Macaca fascicularis: one gene and its partners. The protein of the gene in region 1 interacts with the protein of each later gene in a pairwise test. Links are inferred from orthologs where the notes say so. Each region holds a gene or a part of one and is shown in the gene's direction. Other genes may lie near its edges.

Region 1 (4,810 bases):
AAGAAGAAGAAGAGATTTAGACATAAATAAAAAAGGCAATTGCAGAGTAAAGAGAACATTGGGGAATTAAAAAACAAGAAAGAAAACATTCAGAAGCTTTTACGTGATATCCTATTATAGAATGGAGATGAGGAAGGGTATGAGTAGGAAACACCGAAATATTTCCACTTACTTGGTTTCCTTTCCTGCACTCTTCTTGACACTCCAGTCAACATTAGCCAAAGCAGGGAACAAGTTATTTCTAATGTATTTTGAGGCTTGGAAAGACAAGTCATTATGGTTACACAACAGAGTACTATTAGGGGCTTGGGCTAGAGGCAGGTGAAGTTCAAATCCTGGTTCCCATACTTGTTGTGTGCACTAAGAAAATAATTTGACATCTCTACACATTAGTTTTCAATCTGTAAAATAGGACTGATAATATGGATGGTGTGTGAAAACATATACTGTGCATCATTTATTATTTTGCTTTACATTCTGTAGCACCCTCTAGTGGTGTATACAAAAATATGCATTGCATTTCTACTCTCCAAAGCAGTGGTTCTCAAACTTCAGTGTGTGCTGGAATCACTGGGATAGTTTGTAATAACACAGATTACCAAACCCCACCGTGCGAACTTCTGATTCATTAAGTTTGAGGTGGGACCTGAGAATGTGAATTTCTGACAATTTTTCAGGTGATGCTGATGTTTCTGGTACATCCAGGAAACACATCTTGTGAACCACTGCTCTAAAAAAATCCCTCTTGTGTACAAGTATATAAGATAGATAATTGAAAGGGGTATGATTTTTGTTGTTTGACTTTGATCTAGTACTGCTCATCTAATAAGGACTTGGTGATAAATTTAAAAAAAAATCGACATGAAGGATATAACACAGCATCTAAAATATAGAAAGCATACAAAAAACTGAGGATCACAGAACATAAATCATTTGCCCAGGGTACTGAGACTAGTAAGTGGTGGAATGAGGTTAACAATTAAGTCTCTTTCTCTCACTCCAAAGACACAATAAAATCTACCAATACCACTACAGAAAATAGGGTGCAAACACACATATCTGATACAAATTTCAAGAGAAAAGGAAAATCAGTTTTCTTTTTTTTTTTTTTTGAGACGGAGTCTCACGCTGTTGCCCAGGCTGGAGTGCAGTGGCGCGATCTCGGCTCACTGCAAGCTCCGCCTCCCGGGTTCACGCCATTCTCCTGCCTCAGCCTCCTGAGTAGCTAGGACTACAGGCGCCCGCCACCGCGCCCGGCTAATTTTTTTGTATTTTTAGTAGAGACGGGGTTTCACTGTGGTCTCGATCTCCTGACCTTGTGATCCGCCCGCCTCGGCCTCCCAAAGTGCTGGGATTACAGGCTTGAGCCACCGCGCCCGGCCTTGGAAAATCAGTTTTCAATACCAGGGTCCAAGTTTTACTGATGAGTTCTTATCTCTTTACTAAAGTAACAGCTATCTGTATTTTCAGTTTGGGTGAGTTGCGAGCATTTGAAAAGTTGAGGAAAAAGGGTTAGGATCTTCAGCATCAGTGCTTGGGTCATTCATTAACTCTTTGATTAAACAAGGCAAGGACAAAAGAAGCGAGGGATGGAGAGGGGCCTTCCCCCCCGCCCCCCCACCCAAGGAGAAAAGGAAAGAAATGAGTAAAATTATTTGGATCTTGGGTCACAGTTCCCTGCCTACTAGTGCTATTCACAGAAGCTGATTTTATTTTTTCCTAGGAATGAACGATATCAATGATGCCTTAGATATTAGCGTTCAGCAAATCAAGAAAGGGGAGGGGGGAGGGAAACAAAATCCCAGAATCCCAGGGACCACACAGCCAATCCTTTGCTGGGATTTGGCGGCATCTAGTGGCGAACTCGAGAGGTATAAACCTTACCCACAGAACTTTCTGGAAAATTAACAGTGCGTATTTGCCTGAAGAAGGTCAGTGTGCTTGCTTGGAGATCAGAACGCAAAGGTAAGAGCGCCCTAGTCACCATAAAAATCCGGAGTCTCTAACGGAGGGGAAGGCTGTCATAGATAGATATTCTCATAGGAAAATTGTATTTGTGCCAAGAGAACTGCACGCAACCTTGAAGGGAGGGGGGAGGTGTGGAAGAGGGGAGGGAGGAGGATACTAGACAACTTGAAAGAAGTCTCCCTTTGGAGTTGCTAATGTGACGATGGAAGGCTTTGGCTCTGAATCATTGGAGGGCTGTGGTTTACGACCGGATTTTGGCACAGAGGAGTATTTAAATCAGGGAAAGCCAAAATATTTCTGACAGTGCCCCTTTATCTCTGTTATTGTCGCCTTGCCTTAATTATTTATTTTCCTTTTCATTAGAACATTTTCAAACAAAATACAGAAATAGATAACCTGCGCGCAGTAGCTAACCCCTCCCCGCAACTCCCACCCCAATCACGCACGCGGGCGCGCGCCGTGGCTCTCACCAGTCCAGACGCCAGGGGCGCACGCCTGCGCAAACACATCACCTCCAGCGCCACGAGGGCCGCTCACACAGCAACCCCAGGGGCACTCGAGCCTGCCCGCGCACTAACACACTGGCCTTAATGCCTTGCGCCCGTTGCACTCACGACCCTAACTCGCAAACACAGCAGAACCCCCCACTGCGCCTTTTTTTTCCATGTTCGGGGAGTTGCGCCACAGGCCTGGGGGCGTGGCTCCAGATTTGACCTCGCGCTTCCCCACTCGCGGGAACCTTAGCTCATTTCCGCCTATTTCCGCAGGCCACGTAGACACTTCCTCTCCCAGTGGGGGGCTGGGGGGAAACACAAACCCATAATGCCTCCCTGCAGGAAAAAAATTAAAAAAAAAAAAAAAAGGAAAAGGAAAAAAAAAAAAACCTTCTGGTCAGAGGAACTCTGGGTCGTGAAATAGGCCACGTGAACATTCTGCCCTATAGACTTATGACCCAACGGCTGTCACGCTTTTGGAGGGCGGGCTAAAAACCTAAGAGGGCGAACGTCATTGGCCGGAACGCGCACTGACGGAGGAAGAGGATTGGTTTGCTGTAGGCCTTAACAGTGAAGAAGCAGGTTGCTAGCACCCGCCTTTACTGCGGCGAAGTGTCATTGCTGACGTGGGGGTGGTTGTCCAATCATTTGGTTATGGAACATTCTAAAACTTAGACAAGACGATTGTGATTGGCTGAAGGGCATACGCCCTCCTCCAGGGTGACGTGTCTGCCTATGGATATCAGTTGCCAGAGAAACCTGGCTTTACTATGGCGGTTGGAGGAACGGCAGTGATCACACGTCGTCTGCTGGGAAGATCTGGATTCTCGTTTCAGGTTTCGGGGTGGGGGTGGGGAGAAAGGGTCGATGATTTCCTCTTTTCGTCGGGTATAGACGGGATTAGCTAGTTCCTTCACAATCGGTCAGAGCTGGATTCAGATTCCTGCTCGCCAACGCCCAGCTTGGGCAAGGCTCCTGTTCTTTCTGTGTCTCGGTTTCCATGTTTGTAAAATGGTGATAATAATAGTATCTACCTCAGAGACGTGTACTGTATAATGGTGCGTATAAGGCACGTAATATGAAGCCTGGCCCCTGAAGATATTAGCTATTGTTATGGAGATAAATAATACACGTAATAGAATGAGAAAAATTATAAATTATATAAATTCGCTAATTGTAGTGCCCTTTCTGCCATCAACTTCTTTCCTAGAATAAATTAAAGATAAAAGAGATATATCAATTTTTACCAATGAAATAATTTGCTCTTTGGGAATTGCCTCAAAATTGCAGAGATTGTAATTTTCCCATGTTGAAAAGTTAAATAAAAGGTGGGGGGGTGGAGTGCGAGAAAGAAAGAGATGGAGAACGAGAGCGAGCTGGAGATGAACCACATGCGATGAGTAGGCCTTGTTTGGATCCTGAATCGAACACACCAACTGTAAAAATATGTTTAAGACGCATCGGGAAAATTGGAACATGGATTCGATATTTGATGTTTTTTAAGGAATTGATGTCAATTTTTTTAGGCGTCACAGTAGTATTGTGATTATGTTTTCAAATTGTCCTTTTTTGTAGAGACATATACGAAAATATTTACGGATTAAATAATATAATGTCTGGGATTGGCTTCTAAATACATTAATGACTAGGATTTGCTTCAAAATAATCTAAGCGGTAGGGGGAAATGGGGAGGGGTATAGATGAAACAAAATTGACCCTAAATTAATAATAGTTTTTGCTGAGTGATAGGCAGTGGGTTCCGTATATTAATCTGCTTTCCTTGGTATACGTTTAAATTTTTGTATAATAAAATACAGAAGTCAGATATTCCCGTGAGCTTGAAAAAGTCGGGGGTGGGGGGGAGCAGTGGGTGGGGTTATAGATGAAACAAGATGGCCTTCAGTTGGTAATTGTTGAAAGCTGGATGATGGATTCGTGTAGGTTTGTAATACTATTCTTTTATTTCATCCATTTGAAATTATCTTTAAGGAAAAGTTAAAAAAATTGTCAGAAGTTATATAAATATACAATAAGTTAAATTTGAAAATGTAGCCACAAGAAAGGAAAAAGAAATACTTGTACATTATTTATCAGCTTTGGTGTCCTTTGTGTGTGATGAAATTGCATTGGCTGATGTAGAAGAAAGCCATATCTCATATCTTTTTATTTTATGTCCTTTCCTGTCCTTTTGTTTGACCTTCTAGGTCACCATCAGAAAAGCTAAGTTTGCTGTATAGTGAGGATCAGGAGGTCTGATCCTGATTGCAGAACCTTCCCTGATTACAGAATCTTGGGTAAGTGCCTCCCTTCTGGCCTCAGTTCTTAAACAAGATAATACCACATAACCT
Region 2 (4,743 bases), on another chromosome or scaffold:
GAAATAAAGTCCAAGTAAGAAGTTTATTTGTCTCATGCAACAAAACACTTAAGGGTGTCCAAAGCTGGCACTGTGGCCTAATGTCATATGGGACCTAGGTTCTCTCAATCTTCCTGCTTTGCCAGCCTTAGCATTTACTTACCACTTCATAGGCACATGATGGCAGTTGAACTTCCAAACTTCAGGTCTGCTTAGAGGCAGGAATAAAAGTGGCAAAACACTTAAAGAGTATACTCAACTAGGCTAGGCGCAGTTGCTCATGCCTGTAATCCCAGCACTTTGGGAGGCCAAGGTGGGTGGATCATGAGGTCAGGAGTTTGAGACCAGCCTGGCCAAGATGGTGAAACCCTGTCTCTACTAAAAATACAAAAATTAGCCGGGCGTGGTGGCGGGCACCTGTAGTCTCAGCTACTCGGGAGGCTGAGGCAGGAGAATTGTTTGAACCTGGGAGGCGGAGGTTGCAGTGAGCCGAGATTGCGCCACCGCACTCCAGCCTGGGCAACAGAGCAAGACTTTGTCTCAAAAAAAAAAAAAAAGGCGGGGGGGCTGGAGCATACATGTTTTAAGTAGAATCTTTGACAAGCTGTTCTGCATCCATTCCCATTTCTGTGCTTCCATATTTGTTTTCTTTCATTTCGCTTTCTAGAAATTTTTTCTTTTCTTTTCTTTTTTCTTTTCTTTTTTTTTTTTTTTTTTTTTTTGGTAGAATTCTCTCTAGAAAAGCTACACTCCTGTGTCCTAGGGCCCAACAACAAGCAAGACAGGCATAATAGCTGGGAAGCCAATCAGCTTAAACTAAGACAGACAATATCAAAAGGGCATGTCTAGCCCAGGAGAACATCCACCCTAAATCCAGAAGGCATTATGACCACATCTCTTCAGCTGCCTGGATTTCAGGTATAAATTAGCTCTTCCACAAAGAGGGCACTTGGTCTATAAACGGGTCCAAAGGTAAGAGTCCCACTGCTATAAGACCTATCTCTCTTCTACACTAACGTGGTGGGGCAAGGGGGAAGAAAGGGGTGAGAAGGATGGAGGGTTTGGGGAAGGAGTGGGAGAACTGGAAGCTAGAGAGATCGTTTCTGTCCCACCATCTGTGTGACCCCAGTGCCCAGCACAACGCAGCCCACGGAAAGGCACTGGTCCTTTCATTGAACGTTTACTGAACATCTACTACATGCCAAAAAGCTGGATGGGTGCTGTGGAGGCAGAAATGGATTTGGAGATAATCTCCGCCAGGCAAACTGAGGTCAAGGTTTTCGTTTGTTTGTTTAGAGAAGAGACGGAGAAGGTCAAGGTGTTTTTGTTTTGTTGTTGTTGTTAAGAGTCTTGCTCTGTGCCCAGGCAGGAGTGCAGTGGCATGATCTCGCCTCACTGCAACCTCTGCCTCCCGGGTTCAGACAATTCTCCTGTCTCAGCTTCCCAAATAGCTGGGACTACAGGCGCCAGTAACCACACTCAGCAATTTTTGCATGTTTTGTAGAGACAGGATTTCACCATGTTGGCCGGGATGGTTTCGAACTCCAGCCTCAAGCGATCTTCCCGCCTCGGCCTCCCAAAGTGCTGGGATTACAGGCGTGGGCTACCGCGCCTGGCCTATGTCAAGGTTTCAAGAAGGTTTAGAACTCGGTATCTGCTCCCCTATTTTCAACAGCTTAGTCAGTCCCTAAAATTGATTGACCCGCTCCAGACTGTACTGCGCAGGCGCCCGCTACCTATGCGCTCTCTCCGGACGCCCAGCTCAGACAGTGAATCCCGCATGCGCACTCCTCTTTCTCTCTGGCGCACCCCCGGAAGCACTGTCAATTTCGGGGGGCGGGACCGGGAAGCGTTTCCGGGGGCTGAGGCACAGGCTGAATCTGTTGCGGCAGCGAAGGCTAGAACAGGCCTGCGCCGGCGGCGGAGAGGATCCCTTGGACGGGGGATGTGAGCGCTGAGCCCTTGGCAGGTACTGAGTGGCCAGGACCACGGGCGGCAAGGCTAAGGGAGGAGAAGTTGGTGGGGGAGTTAAGGGCTCCTCTGCAGGCCCCGACGCACGCGCCGCTTGCCCCGCCAGGCCCATTCCGTGGACCGGCATGCTAAAGCCCCGCGCGGAAGGTTGGGGTCCCGGCGCCCCAGCTCCGAATCCCGCAGTCTCCTGCCCACACGGCGCGCAGACCGCGATACCAAGGCCTTTGGGGCAGCTTCTCGCCCAAGGTCACCCTCGCGGCAGCGGAGCTCCGCCGGCCACAGCGCTTAGAGATCCTGCCCCCGTCCGTCCGCTGGCCTTTCGGGGCGTAGGGTGGGCGCGGCTTGACGGCCTCGGGTTCGAGCCACCAATGCGTGAAGCCTGAAGAGCCGAGCTGGCAGAAAGACTGCGCCTGGACTTCTCTGATCTTCTTTTCCCTTCTGTTTCACCCCGGTTGCTGTCTCTGTCACCTGTTGTAACCTGTCCTTTTTGTCTTTCAGCTAGGTCCCTGTCAACCTGATATTTCTCTCCACTTTGTCTTTCTCGGGGTATATGGATCCTGTTTCATATCTGTCTCCACCTTGCTTCTGTGTCTGTTCACCCTGTCTCTGCCACTCAGCCCTTACTCTAATTCAGGGCCTGTCAGTCTAGCTTTTTGGCCATCTGTCTGTTTTTCTCTCTTTCTTCCAACTTTTTTTTTTCCTCTTGTTTCTGTTTCCTAGCTGAGTTTGTCTGGGTAGGGCAGGGCTGCCCAGACCTCTGAGCCATGGAAGGTGACTCATGACCCCGTGAAGCTCCCTGCACTGGTGACACTCTCAGTGATTCGACCGCAGTTTGGCCTCAGCTCTGACAGGTGCCGCCCAACATAAGTGTCAGAGTGCAGGAGAGTCTGTCAGGGAGACAGGAGGCCCATTTTGGGGCCAGAGCAGCTTGATGAGTCCTAGCCTTTTCTCGCCTGTGGTTTTTCAGGCCTGCACAGCTTCCCAAATCCCTTCACTCCATCCACTTAACCACGGGATGGTCTCCAGGGATCTCTGGAGCCTGCTCTTTGAGTTACAGCTGTTTAACTGGCCTGTCTACAGGCTAAAGAAGGATCAGACTGAGATCTTTGGGGCTACTGGAACAGTAGCAGAGTTTCTGGGAGAGCTGCATGCTTAGTTCAGAGACTGTGTCAGCATTTTCGGTTAAATTGTAAGAAACCTAATAATCGGGGATTTATTATTTGCTTTACAAAAGTACCACGGGAGAAATAAACCGTACACAAAAGGACAAATATTGTTTGAGAGCACTTAAATGAAGTACCTAGAATAAACCAATTAAGAGACGGAAAGTAGAATAGTTTACCAGGGGCTGGAGAGAGGAGTTAGTGCTTAATGGATACAGAACAGAGTTTTGGGGGATGATGAATAAAGTCTGAAAATGGGTTGTGATGATTGCACAATATTGTGAATGTACTTCACTGAATTGGACTCTTAAGAATGCTTAAAATTGTTAAGTCTTAAAGTTTTATGTATATTTTATACAATACAAAAAAAACAAAAACAGTATTCATTGGAGACTCCTGAAACCAATAAGCTCCTTTTTTTTTTTTTTTTTTTTGAGACGGAGTCTTGCTCTGTCACCCAGGCTGGAGTGCAGTGGCCGGATCTCAGCTCACTGCAAGCTCCGCCTCCCGGGTTTACACCATTCTCCTGCCTCAGCCTCCCGAGTAGCTGGGACTACAGGCGCCCACCACCTCGCCTGGCTAGTTTTTTGTATTTTTTAGTAGAGACGGGGTTTCACCGTGTTAGCCAGGATGGTCTCGATCTCCTGACCTCGTGATCCGCCCGTCTCGGCCTCCCAAAGTGCTGGGATTACAGGCTTGAGCCACCGCGCCCGGCCCAATAAGCTCCTTTTACGTGTAATTTTTCAAAATTCATTCTGTAGTTGTTAGGAACATTTAGTTGAACCTGGGTTTATTGATTCCTACTCTCTTTACAGCAGTGGGTACAGCTGAGGTTCTTAGAAAAGTTTAGTTAAATGGATATGGTTAAAATCTTCCTCAAGCTTTCTACTTACTTTCTGCCCTGGCTCTCTTCCCTCTGCCTTTCTTGGAATCAGTGCAAGAATCTGCTCATAAGTAGGATACTTGATAATTATACTCTTCACAGGAAGAAAACTCATAAGGTTGAAAAATAGCCCTTTTATTATAATGCAAAATTATGTGTTATTTCTTGAGTTTTCTTATGGGGGATGCCTTTGTGGGTTTTTTGTTTTTTAAAATCTCTTATTTAAGCTCTTTGCCTTTAAGGTAGTTTATTAAACTTTCTAATAAGATATCGCAACTGAATTACTAGTTTATTTCATTGAATGCTAGATGCTGTTGATTATTTCATGTACCACTAAGGAAGAGAGAAACCCTGCTAATTAAACTATGGCTTAATGCGCTCTTATCGTTTAGACTTTTTATTATTGAAAACACTTTTAAACTTAGACACTAAAAAATGGTATCAATGCCTATGCTAATGCATGTATATACAAAGGAAAAATAAGAATAAATTGGTTAAAGTATTCATTAAAGTTAACATTCCAGGTTCTACTCTTTATACTTTTCAGTTCAGAGTGTGTCCATATTTTTTCTAGCGTGTCATCCTTTGTGTCATCAAGAACATTGATGAGGACCTCAGCAGTTCGCTGTCATTGCCTCAGGCTGTGACAACTATTAAAACTGCCACCTGGTGATCACATGCTGATTTCAGGAATTTTAAAATGTGAAAAAATGCATGTCTGAAAATTAATTGAATAGTATCATTTTC
Region 3 (4,524 bases), on another chromosome or scaffold:
TGTAGTTTGCCTTTGGCCATTTCACTGCTTATTATTCAAGGGCTAGAGAGAAAAGGAGAGAAGCTGAAATTCAGATCAGTTAATTAAGCTGTTTGGGAACAGCTCTGAAAAGGGTTGAATGTGGTGGTGGGTGAAATCAATAGTGAACTGGTGGTTTGAGATCATCTATAGCTCTCACTACCCAGTCTTCTCTACTTCACACCCCTCAATCAACGGCTGTTCAACATATGAAGCATTTTATAAGTTCATTCCAGCTTCACAGGATTTGTCCCTTTGTTCTGGAGTACCTGTTAAGGCATATGTCCTGATTTTTGGTTTGGAGAATTTGGTCAGCACACCAACATTAGATATATCGGGTGGTCTGCTTCTATAGGGTAATTTCATGGTCCTAAGGAAAGAATTTAAGAGTTTATTTTCTGAAACTGGTTCAAGAAACATTCCTTAAGTGAAAAATTTCAATCAAGAATAATATTCCCTACATTTTGGAGAAGGATTTTTAATATAGAACTTCCATCTGTGATATATTTAAATTCTAGGCCTCAGGCAGCAGTTTCAGAAAAGGGCCTCCTTTACCCTTTATTAGATGCAAAATAAATAGTCTACTCTGCGGATGGGGACTTCCCCTTACCTCCCCACCCCTGCGAAATCTAAGACATGCTTCCCTCATTCCTAAAATCACACATGCTACTTTTTTTTTTTCACACAGAAACTCTACTATTGACATCAAAATATTTATTAAAACTTTAATTACTCGAATTATTTTGTAAGTACTCCTATTCAGTAGAAAAGAAGACCGGTGAAGCTGTCCAAATGGCGGCCTGCAGTCAATGCGTGGAAAGCTGTCAATACCGAAATGTAATACTCTCTTGATCTAGTTTTGACACTTTAACAAAGACAGGTTTTGCCATTTAGGACCGCTCAGCCATCTTGACTGAATACGTTAAGAGGGTAGTCCTGGACCTGCTTATTGCCAAGGGACTTTCACAGTGATTTCTAAGTTACTGTAGGAATCTCAGCCTATCACTCGACAGAGGCCTAACATGTTGGAGCTGTCAATAAAGATCCGCACTTTGGAAGCGGAAAGAAGGCACAAGTTTTATATGCACACTTTCTTTATTATGCATTCTTCCAGCCATCAAAGAGGGGAAGATTGTACTCTCCCAAAGCTTACAACTTTGTTACTTTTCATGACCTGTAGCATGTATTTAGCCTTTGGGTAATGTTTGTGCAAGACTAAGGCCCACTCTTTAATGGCTGAATGCATACATTTCGCAGCACATGGTGGATTCGCTGCTCTGAGAATTGCCTTTAAAAAAAGTAAAGTGAAAAATAGACAAAGAAATCTGGAACCTTAGCAGTGTTTCCTATTTGTTTGGACTGTTCTTGAACCAGCTCTCAGGCGGTGACCGGGCTATTGAAAAGATGCACCTGAAACAGGATCTGCGGGCAGCTGCATTTGCCACCCGGCTTTATTGCTGCTTTCCAGCGGCGAAGGCGCAGCAGCAGTAACAGGGAAGCCAGAGCGAGCCTCCCCGGCAGCGGCGGCGGCGGCGGCGGCACCGGCACCAGCGCAGTTTCCCCTCTCCCCAGCCCTGACTCTACGCGCACATGCGCACTGCGCCCGCAGCCCTGGACCATTTGTCAGGACTACTCGTGAGACGGAGAAAAAAAAAAGAGAAAATTTGGGGGTAAGAAGCGGTTGATCGGATCTAATCTCTAATTAATCTGAAGATTTGTCCGTGCAAAAGCCATTCATTTATTTTTCTGGGTGAGGATGAAAGTTAAGAGCCCTATAGAGGGAAGGAAGCGCACCCTCGTCTTGTGAAACAGATCAGGGGAGGGGAGGGACAGAAGGGGTTTCTCCCCCACTTCTCTGCGCCTCTGGGAAAGAGGAGAAAACTTAATCCCGGGGAAAAAAGTGGGCAAGTGACTCGGAAACGGCTGGAGAGGGAGTCTCTGGGCATCTCACTCTGAAGTAGTGAGTGCGAGTGTGAAAGAGGAACAAAAGAGAGAGAAAAGAGAAAGGAAAAAATGGGGGGAGGAGAGACTTGTATTTTTTTCTTTGCGCGCACACGGGGAAGGGTGTGGGGGGCCGTGCGGAAGGGAGCCGGGGCGAGGCGGCCGCGTCGGGCTCAGGCTGGCGCGCAGGCGGCGGGATGCGTGTGGCCCCCTCCCCCGCGCCCCCCGAGCTTGTCACTTTGGTCGCTTTCGTGACACCGGGCGCGGGGTGGGGGAGCGCGGCGGCGCCGGGCTCCGCCGGGGTGCGTGTCCGGGTGGGCGCCGCGGAGCCGCAGCCCGGGCGGCGAGCGCGGCCGCCGAGGCGGGGGGCGCCGGCGGGGGGCGCGGGGGCGGCCGGGGACGCGGATCGGTGCGGCGGGAGGCGCGAGCCCCGCGCGCCGCCCCTGCGGCCCCCTCCGCCCGTGTGGCCTTTGTGCCGGGCGCGCACCGGAGAGCGAGCGAGCGGGCGGGCGAGCGCGAGAAGTACAAGTACGGGAGACCGAGGCAGTGGGAAAAGAGGCCGGGCCACTTTCTCCCCTCTCGGGCTGCGGAGAATGGACTGGTTGAATGTGCAGGCGCGTCTCCCCGGCGTGTGCTGTGTGTGTGCGCGGCGGAAAGGCCTGCCCGACTCCCACCGCGCACACGCACACTCACACGCACGCACACACACGGACCCGCGGCGGGGCTCGGCGGCCGAGAGTTTGCGTGGCTTCCTCGCCGCCTCCCTCTTCCCGACCGAGTGTGTGAGAATTTCATATAGATCAGCTCCAATTTCCGCCATTTTGGGAAAGTTGCACAAAAATAAACCCTCCGGTTTATTTCTGCCCGAGGCAGGAAAGTGCTTTGGGAAGCGAGGCGGCGCGGGCCCGCGGCGGCCGTCCGCGCGGGAGAGGGCGCGGGCCGCGGGCCGGGCCGGGAGCCCGCGCCGTCGCGGCGTTCGCCCCGCGCCGTGCCGCGCCGCGCCGGCCCGGGTGCGGGCGCGGGCGCGGGCGTGTGTCGGGAGGCGGCGGCGGCGGCGGTCGCGGCGGCGGCGGCCGCGCCGGGGCGGCGGGCTGGGGGGGGAGGGTGGGGGCGGCGCGGGGCTGCTTTTCCTGCAACTTGTTTACGCCTGCCTTATCCTGGGGAGGAAAAGAGGGGTCGGGGCCGGGGCCGGGGCCGCCGCCCGCCTCGCGCCGCGTGCGTGTGCCGTTCCGGAATAATGGGCTTTGCACACTCGCGTCCTGGGCCCCGCGGGCCGTCCTCGCGCCGCGGCGGCGGGGCGGGGGGAAGTAGAGGCCGGCGGGGGTGGGGATCGGGAAGCGCAGGAGCCGAGGCATCCGCCGCGCGCCCCGCGAGCTGGTGGAGTGTGGGGGCCGGCGGGCAGGGAGGAAAACTTGAGAGCCTGGAGGGGGAGGAGGGCACGGTGGCACGGGCGGGGGGAGGGCGCAACTTTTGGACTGGTGGTAAAACTTTAATTACCTTTCAAGAAAAAAAAGGCCCTGCGATTCCCCCCTCCCCCCGTCCCGGTCAAAGCACGGCCCGCAGCGCGACCGTGAGAGAAAGTTTAAAAGCGGGCGGGTTCCTCCCGGGTCCCCGCGGAGGGCTGGGGGCGTCGGTCTGTCCGCCTGCGCTCGGAGGGAGGTGGGGGTAACTAACTGCTCTCCGGGGCGCGGGGACCGCGGCTTTACCCCACCCTTCCACGGGAGACGGAGGTAAACGTTGCTTCGGTTTCCCTTCTGAGTCCCCCTGCTGCCACCACCCCGCTTCCTTTTCCTCCCCCTCCCCGCCGATTTTTTGAGGGGACCCGAAAAACAGAGTCCCTTTCCTTAGGCAACTTCCTTGGGCACTGTGAGCACGGCCCTCCCCCTCACCGCCCCCACCCCCAACGCCCCGCATCCCTTGGCCCGCTTCTTCTCCACCTCGGGGCCACCGCCAGAAAAATGCATTCGAGATCATTCAGAGTGCATAGAAACAAAAATAGATTTTTAATTGTTAGGTTAGGGGGAACTGAGATGAGAAATAAGATTTTGGGGTGGGGGGGCGCGGCCGGGGCAAGTGCGTCCATTTCTCCTTTTGGTTTTCCTAGAGCGTTGTTTGTGATGTCTTTATTGGTTTAGGGAGTCCGAGAGGCTGTGTGCTGGCTATCTCGGTCGCGTGGATTTTTGCGCAAGTTTTTAGAAAAACACTGACTCGAGTAGAGAGCATTTCTCCGGAAAGTTTCAAGTGCAGCAAAATAGCGAACGTGCAAAACTGGCCAAGGGGAGACCTCTAGTGGTTAAACGCGTCTTTAAGTTCGGAAGGCCGAGAGCAAAGTTTGGCCTTTACTTGTAGCTACGTAGTCCGTTCAGACGTGGAAGTAATTAGAGGACCTGAGCGAGCAGCCAGATGTTGTGTGAAAGGATGCTTGATCAGAAATTGAAAGTTTAGTAAATCGGAGCAATGAATTCTGAGGACTCAGACCCTGTAACTTCCATCCGACATGAGTTATGTGGGAAAAACACTTTGCTCTTATTCTGGGATTTGAGATTGATCGCTCCCTGAATTGGA
Region 4 (4,716 bases), on another chromosome or scaffold:
GAGGCTGGTGTGAGGCCCTCGATCCCGCGCCCAGACCCGGGCAGTGAGCCCTATGCCTGCAGTAATTGTGGGATTGCTGGTTTTGTTTTTTCCTTAGCACCTTTATTGAGATCATAGAGTTCACCCGCTTAAAGCGCACGATTCGGTGGGGTTCTGTTGCGAGCAACCGTGGCCATTATCTAATTCCAGAGCATTTCACCTCCTTAAAAAGAAGCTGGGCCGTAGCCCGGCGCGGTGGCTCAAGCCTGTAATCCCAGCACTTTGGGAGGCCGAGGAGGGGGGGAATCACCTGAGGTCAAGAGTTCGAGACCAGCCTGGCCAACATGGTGAAACCGCGTCTCTACTAAAAATACAAAAATTAGCCGGCCGTAGTGAGGGCCTGTGGTCCCAGCTTCTCGGGAGTCTGTCGGGAGAATTGCTTGAACCCGAGAGGCAGAGGTTGCAGTGAGCCAAGATCGCGCCATTGCACCCCAGCCTGGGCAACAGAGCGAGACTCTGCCTCAGAAACAAAAAAGAAGCCGATCCCCATCCGCAGTGACTCGCGTTTCCCTCCCCCTCCCCCGTCCCCGGCAACTGTGCGTCTACTTTCTATTTCTATGGAGTTGCCAGTTCTGGCTCTTCCTGTGAATGGATTCCCATGCTGCGTATTTTGGTGTCTGAATTCTCTGACTTTCGTCTCAGCCCGCACCCACGCTGCCGCAGTCCGCGCTCGCGGCTTTTAGGCTGAACGCGGCTGCGCCGTGCGGGTGCCCGCGCTCCGTGCGCCCCTAGCCGGTTCAGCCCCGGTTGGGGGCGGCGCTAGCCTTGCGGCTGCGGATCCCAGCCTGAACCTGTGTCTTGTTCCACCGTTGCGGGCGCCCGCCACGGAGCTGCTGCCTCCTAGGGAGACGGTTCCATCGTTGAAGGAACGGCCGTTCTGTCTTTCGCAGCAGCGACTCCATCTGGCCCCACAGCACGACCGCACGAGGGTCCCGAGTCCGGATCCTCGCAGTACTCGCCACCCCGGCCGCGTGGTTGCGGCGGTCTCGGCGGGGAAGGGGGTCCCCACGCGGGCTGGTTCGCGTTTCGCGTGACCGATGGTGCTCATTGGCCATCTATACATCTTTTTTTTTCTTTTTCCCGAGTCGGAGTTTCTCTCTTGTTGCCCAAGCTGGATTGCAATGGCGCGATCTCCGCTCACTGCAACCTCCGCCTCTCGGGTTCAAGCGATTCTCCTGCCTCAGCCTCTCGAAGTAACTGGGATTACAGGCGCCCGCCACCACGGCCGGCTAATTTTGTTGTATTTTTAGTAGAGACGGGATTATGCCATGTTGGCCAGGCTGGTCTCGAATTCCTGACCTCAGATGATCCTCCCGCCTCGGCCTCCCAAAGTGCTGGGATTACAGGCGTGAGCCACCGCGCCCGGCCCATCTGTACATCTTCTTTGGAAAAATGTGTATCCAAATCCTTTGCCGTTTTATAGTTAGACTGTCTTTTTATTATAGAGTTATATTTATACCTTCTGCAAGGAAGTTCCTTATCAGATACAGGATTTGCAAATACTTTCTCCCAATCTGTGGGTCGTCTTTTCACTTTGCTGATGGTTTTCTTTGAAGCAAAAAAGTTTTCTGTTGTTGTTTGGGTGAAGTGTTAGAACACTTACTGTGCTTTAAAGAGGAACACGTTTTAAGCACCCCCGCACGGGGCGGAGCAGGGCGGAGTCCCCGGCGGGAAGGGACCCGAGGCCTCGGCTGCGCCTGCGCCGACGCCGGCGCGTGAGCCGGAGCTCGTGCCTGGCGAAGCGCGCGCCCGCCCCCGAGTGCGCCTGCGCGGAGCTCGTGGCCGCGCCTGCTCCCGCCGGGGGCTCCTTGCTCGGCCGGGCCGCGGCCATGGGAGAGGCCGAGGTGGGCGGCGGGGGCGCCGCAGGCGACAAGGGCCCAGGGGAGGCGGCCACCAGCCCGGCGGAGGAGACAGTGGTGTGGAGCCCCGAGGTGGAGGTGTGCCTCTTCCACGCCATGCTGGGCCACAAGCCCGTCGGTGAGCGCCCAGGCCGCGGACGCGCGTGGGGGCGGGGCGGGCAACCGGCGGGGCGGGGCGGGGCCTGCGCTCGCGGCACCCGCGCCCCCACGCGCCCCGCCGAGCCCGGGCCGTGACACCCCCGCCACACCCGTCCCGGGACCCCCGCCCCCTCCCACGCGCCCTTCGGACCCCGCCCCGGACCCCGCCCCCGGCCCCTACCCCCGTGACACCGCGAGGCCCCAGCCCGCAGCGCCCCACCCCCACCTCTGCCCCGGGACGCCCCACCCCCTCCCACACACACCACCCAGCCCTGCCCCCCGACAGCCTCTCCGCACCCTGGCCCGCCCCATCCCACCGCGGCCACCCTTGCCCCTCCAGTCCCCAGGGCACCCTATCCCCCCCATCCCCTTTCTCCTTCTCCTCCCCTCTGACCGGTTGTCCCGCCGCCCCTCCTTCCCCCAGGTGTGAACCGACACTTCCACATGATTTGTATCCGGGACAAGTTCAGCCAGAACATCGGGCGGCAGGTCCCATCCAAGGTCATCTGGGACCACCTGAGCACCATGTACGACATGCAGGCACTGGTGAGCCCAACCACCCTCCCTGTGCTGCCCGATGGGGGCACGAACCCACACACCGCTGAGGGTCAGCCTGAGCTGGGCAGAGCAGAGGCCCCTCCATGCCTGCTGGGGTCTGCTGGGCAGAGCCCCCTGCAGTGAGACCCATCCTTAAGGAGGGCATCCCAGGGCTCCAGAGCCTGTCATGGAAAGCACAAACACAATGCTAGCAGCTGGCCAGCTTTTCAGGGGGCCTGCTTTAGACTGGGTGCTGGGCCAGAGCCTCCAGCTGAGACCCTGGGGAGGGAGGGAAGGATGCAGAGGCCCCAGGCCCTTAGGCCCTTGTCAGCCTCCCGGGATGCCCCAGAAGTGCTTTAGGCAGAGGGTGACCCTATCTGAGTCACACCAAGGTGAATTTGGTGGCTTCTGTGGGAGTCAGGCAAATAGAGTCCCAGTCCTCACAGAGCTTGGAGCTGGCAGTGTGTGACGGGCGAGCGCGTTAGCTAGGTAAGCAGGCTGGCCACGAGAGACAGGTGGGTGTTGCAGGCTCTGTGGCAGCAGGAGGTGGTGGGTCCAGGAGTTGAAAGAAGGTGGTGTGCTTGGAGAATGGGGTGGGGGTCAGGGGTCAGGTGACCAGGAGGAGTGGGGACCTGTGCTGGTGGAAGGAGAGTCTGTGCCAGCCACGCTGGACTCAGGGCCACACCAGCCCTTCCAGGAAGACATAGGGGCACCACTGAGGCAAGGAATGCTTGCCGTTGACATTGGTGGAGTGATGTGGGTCTCCTTGTCATAGCTGTAGAAAGGGGACAGAGATGCCAGCCGTGCAGGGGCCTGGCTGTCTGAGGAGAGGAAGGATGCTCAGCCCTAGAAATGCCCTGGAAGCTTAAGCCCCTGTTGCTGCCGCCTCGTGTGTTGAGGACGTTCTGAGCCAGTGCGGCATTTGCACTGGGTGACCAGTACCTAGTGGCCCAGACACAGCTGGCTACTAAGCTCACAAGGTCCTCCCTGGACCCGCTCCTCCCTAGAGCGTATCCATCAGCCATTGAACCCTGGTCACCACCCCTCAGGGTCAGAGGCCCCCTGTCACCAAACTCCCAGCAGCCTCTTGGTTGTGGGAGAGGGCGCTAGGTCCCCAGACACCTCCCACACCGGGATTTGGAGAGATCGGTGTAAATCTATGCCTGTCTCTGGGGAAGACAAACAGCTCCAAGGCCCATAATGTCCCCTGGGGCATGGGTGCTGGCTCAGATGAGCACAGCAGCCCACATGACACTCAGGAAGCCATGTGGGACCGCCAGGCCTTTCAGCCCTAGGACTGTGGCCCTGTTCCTTATTCCTGCAGTGGCCTATGACATCAGTAAGGACTGGGCAAGACCACAGGCTGGCACTTTCTCTGGACCATGACACTTCTGTGTGACTGAGATCTGAGTCTTTCAGACCTTATGAAATACAGAGCCCCTGGAGTACCCCCGAGAGGCTGACCAGCTGGCCCAGGAGATTTTGAGGAGCACAAATGTGGCCTGACTGCCTGTTCCATACAGCACCCAAACTGCCGAGTAGAAGCCCCTGTCTCCTGAATCGCCTCCCAGTCCAGGGCCCTTCCCGCCAGCTCCACTTTTCCCTGGCTCCCAGTCTCTCCCTCTGGTCTGTGTGACCTCAGGAGGGCAGTGCCTGGCAAGCACTCGGGTGGCCCTGCTCCATCTGCTCTTCTTCCTTGCCTGGTTCTGTGCCTGTGGCGCTCCCAACTGACACCCTCAGTGTCCATGGGTTCCTGCCATGTGGATGAGAACTTGAGGTGCCTGCGGCCTTTCCCCAGGGCTGTCACCGTGCCCTCTGCACACCGCCTTGGGGAACGCAGTCTCTTGGTGAGACCATAGGTCGTGGTGGGCAGGCAGGACCCACAGGTGTGCAGTCTCTTGGTGAGACCGTAGGCCGTGGTGGGCAGGCAGGGCCCACAGGTGTATGTCACCAGGGCTACCCGGTCCTCAGGGCCCACCTTAGTGATGCCGGCCCCGGTGGGTCTTCCTGACCCCTGCACGTGCCTCCACTGGTTCTGCCCTCCCTGGGTCTGTCTGAAAAGCCCAGCTGTAGCAGGCACTGTTCACAAAAAGAAGAAATGCCCTTTGCCCATGCCCCGCCCACCGCAGCCTCCAACACAGTG

Evidence for each region.
Region 2: the proteins of MORF4L2 (region 1) and ZBTB43 interact in binary tests that used the Homo sapiens proteins (3 or more experiments, as listed by UniProt). The two-hybrid records come from large-scale screens. The link is inferred for Macaca fascicularis from reciprocal best matches to the Homo sapiens genes MORF4L2 and ZBTB43.
Region 3: the proteins of MORF4L2 (region 1) and L3MBTL3 interact in binary tests that used the Homo sapiens proteins (3 or more experiments, as listed by UniProt). The two-hybrid records come from large-scale screens. The link is inferred for Macaca fascicularis from reciprocal best matches to the Homo sapiens genes MORF4L2 and L3MBTL3.
Region 4: the proteins of MORF4L2 (region 1) and MRGBP interact in binary tests that used the Homo sapiens proteins (3 or more experiments, as listed by UniProt). The two-hybrid records come from large-scale screens. The link is inferred for Macaca fascicularis from reciprocal best matches to the Homo sapiens genes MORF4L2 and MRGBP.

What each region holds. Positions count from the first base shown.
Region 1 is NC_088395.1:110,058,085-110,062,894, reverse strand, and holds the start of MORF4L2 (mortality factor 4-like protein 2), read left to right. Parts: upstream 1-1,906; 5' UTR 1,907-1,965; intron 1,966-2,438; exon of another isoform or gene 2,439-2,453; intron 2,454-3,229; exon of another isoform or gene 3,230-3,298; intron 3,299-4,666; 5' UTR 4,667-4,756; intron 4,757-4,810. UniProt on the Homo sapiens protein: Component of the NuA4 histone acetyltransferase complex which is involved in transcriptional activation of select genes principally by acetylation of nucleosomal histone H4 and H2A.
Region 2 is NC_088389.1:17,206,107-17,210,849, reverse strand, and holds the start of ZBTB43 (zinc finger and BTB domain-containing protein 43), read left to right. Parts: upstream 1-1,823; 5' UTR 1,824-1,948; intron 1,949-4,743. UniProt on the Homo sapiens protein: May be involved in transcriptional regulation.
Region 3 is NC_088378.1:34,011,508-34,016,031, forward strand, and holds the start of L3MBTL3 (lethal(3)malignant brain tumor-like protein 3), read left to right. Parts: upstream 1-1,604; 5' UTR 1,605-1,688; intron 1,689-1,821; exon of another isoform or gene 1,822-1,978; intron 1,979-2,084; exon of another isoform or gene 2,085-2,261; intron 2,262-2,431; exon of another isoform or gene 2,432-2,737; intron 2,738-3,291; exon of another isoform or gene 3,292-3,689; intron 3,690-4,524. UniProt on the Homo sapiens protein: Is a negative regulator of Notch target genes expression, required for RBPJ-mediated transcriptional repression. It recruits KDM1A to Notch-responsive elements and promotes KDM1A-mediated H3K4me demethylation.
Region 4 is NC_088384.1:118,859,447-118,864,162, forward strand, and holds the start of MRGBP (MRG/MORF4L-binding protein), read left to right. Parts: upstream 1-1,796; 5' UTR 1,797-1,868; coding exon 1,869-2,016; intron 2,017-2,460; coding exon 2,461-2,582; intron 2,583-4,716.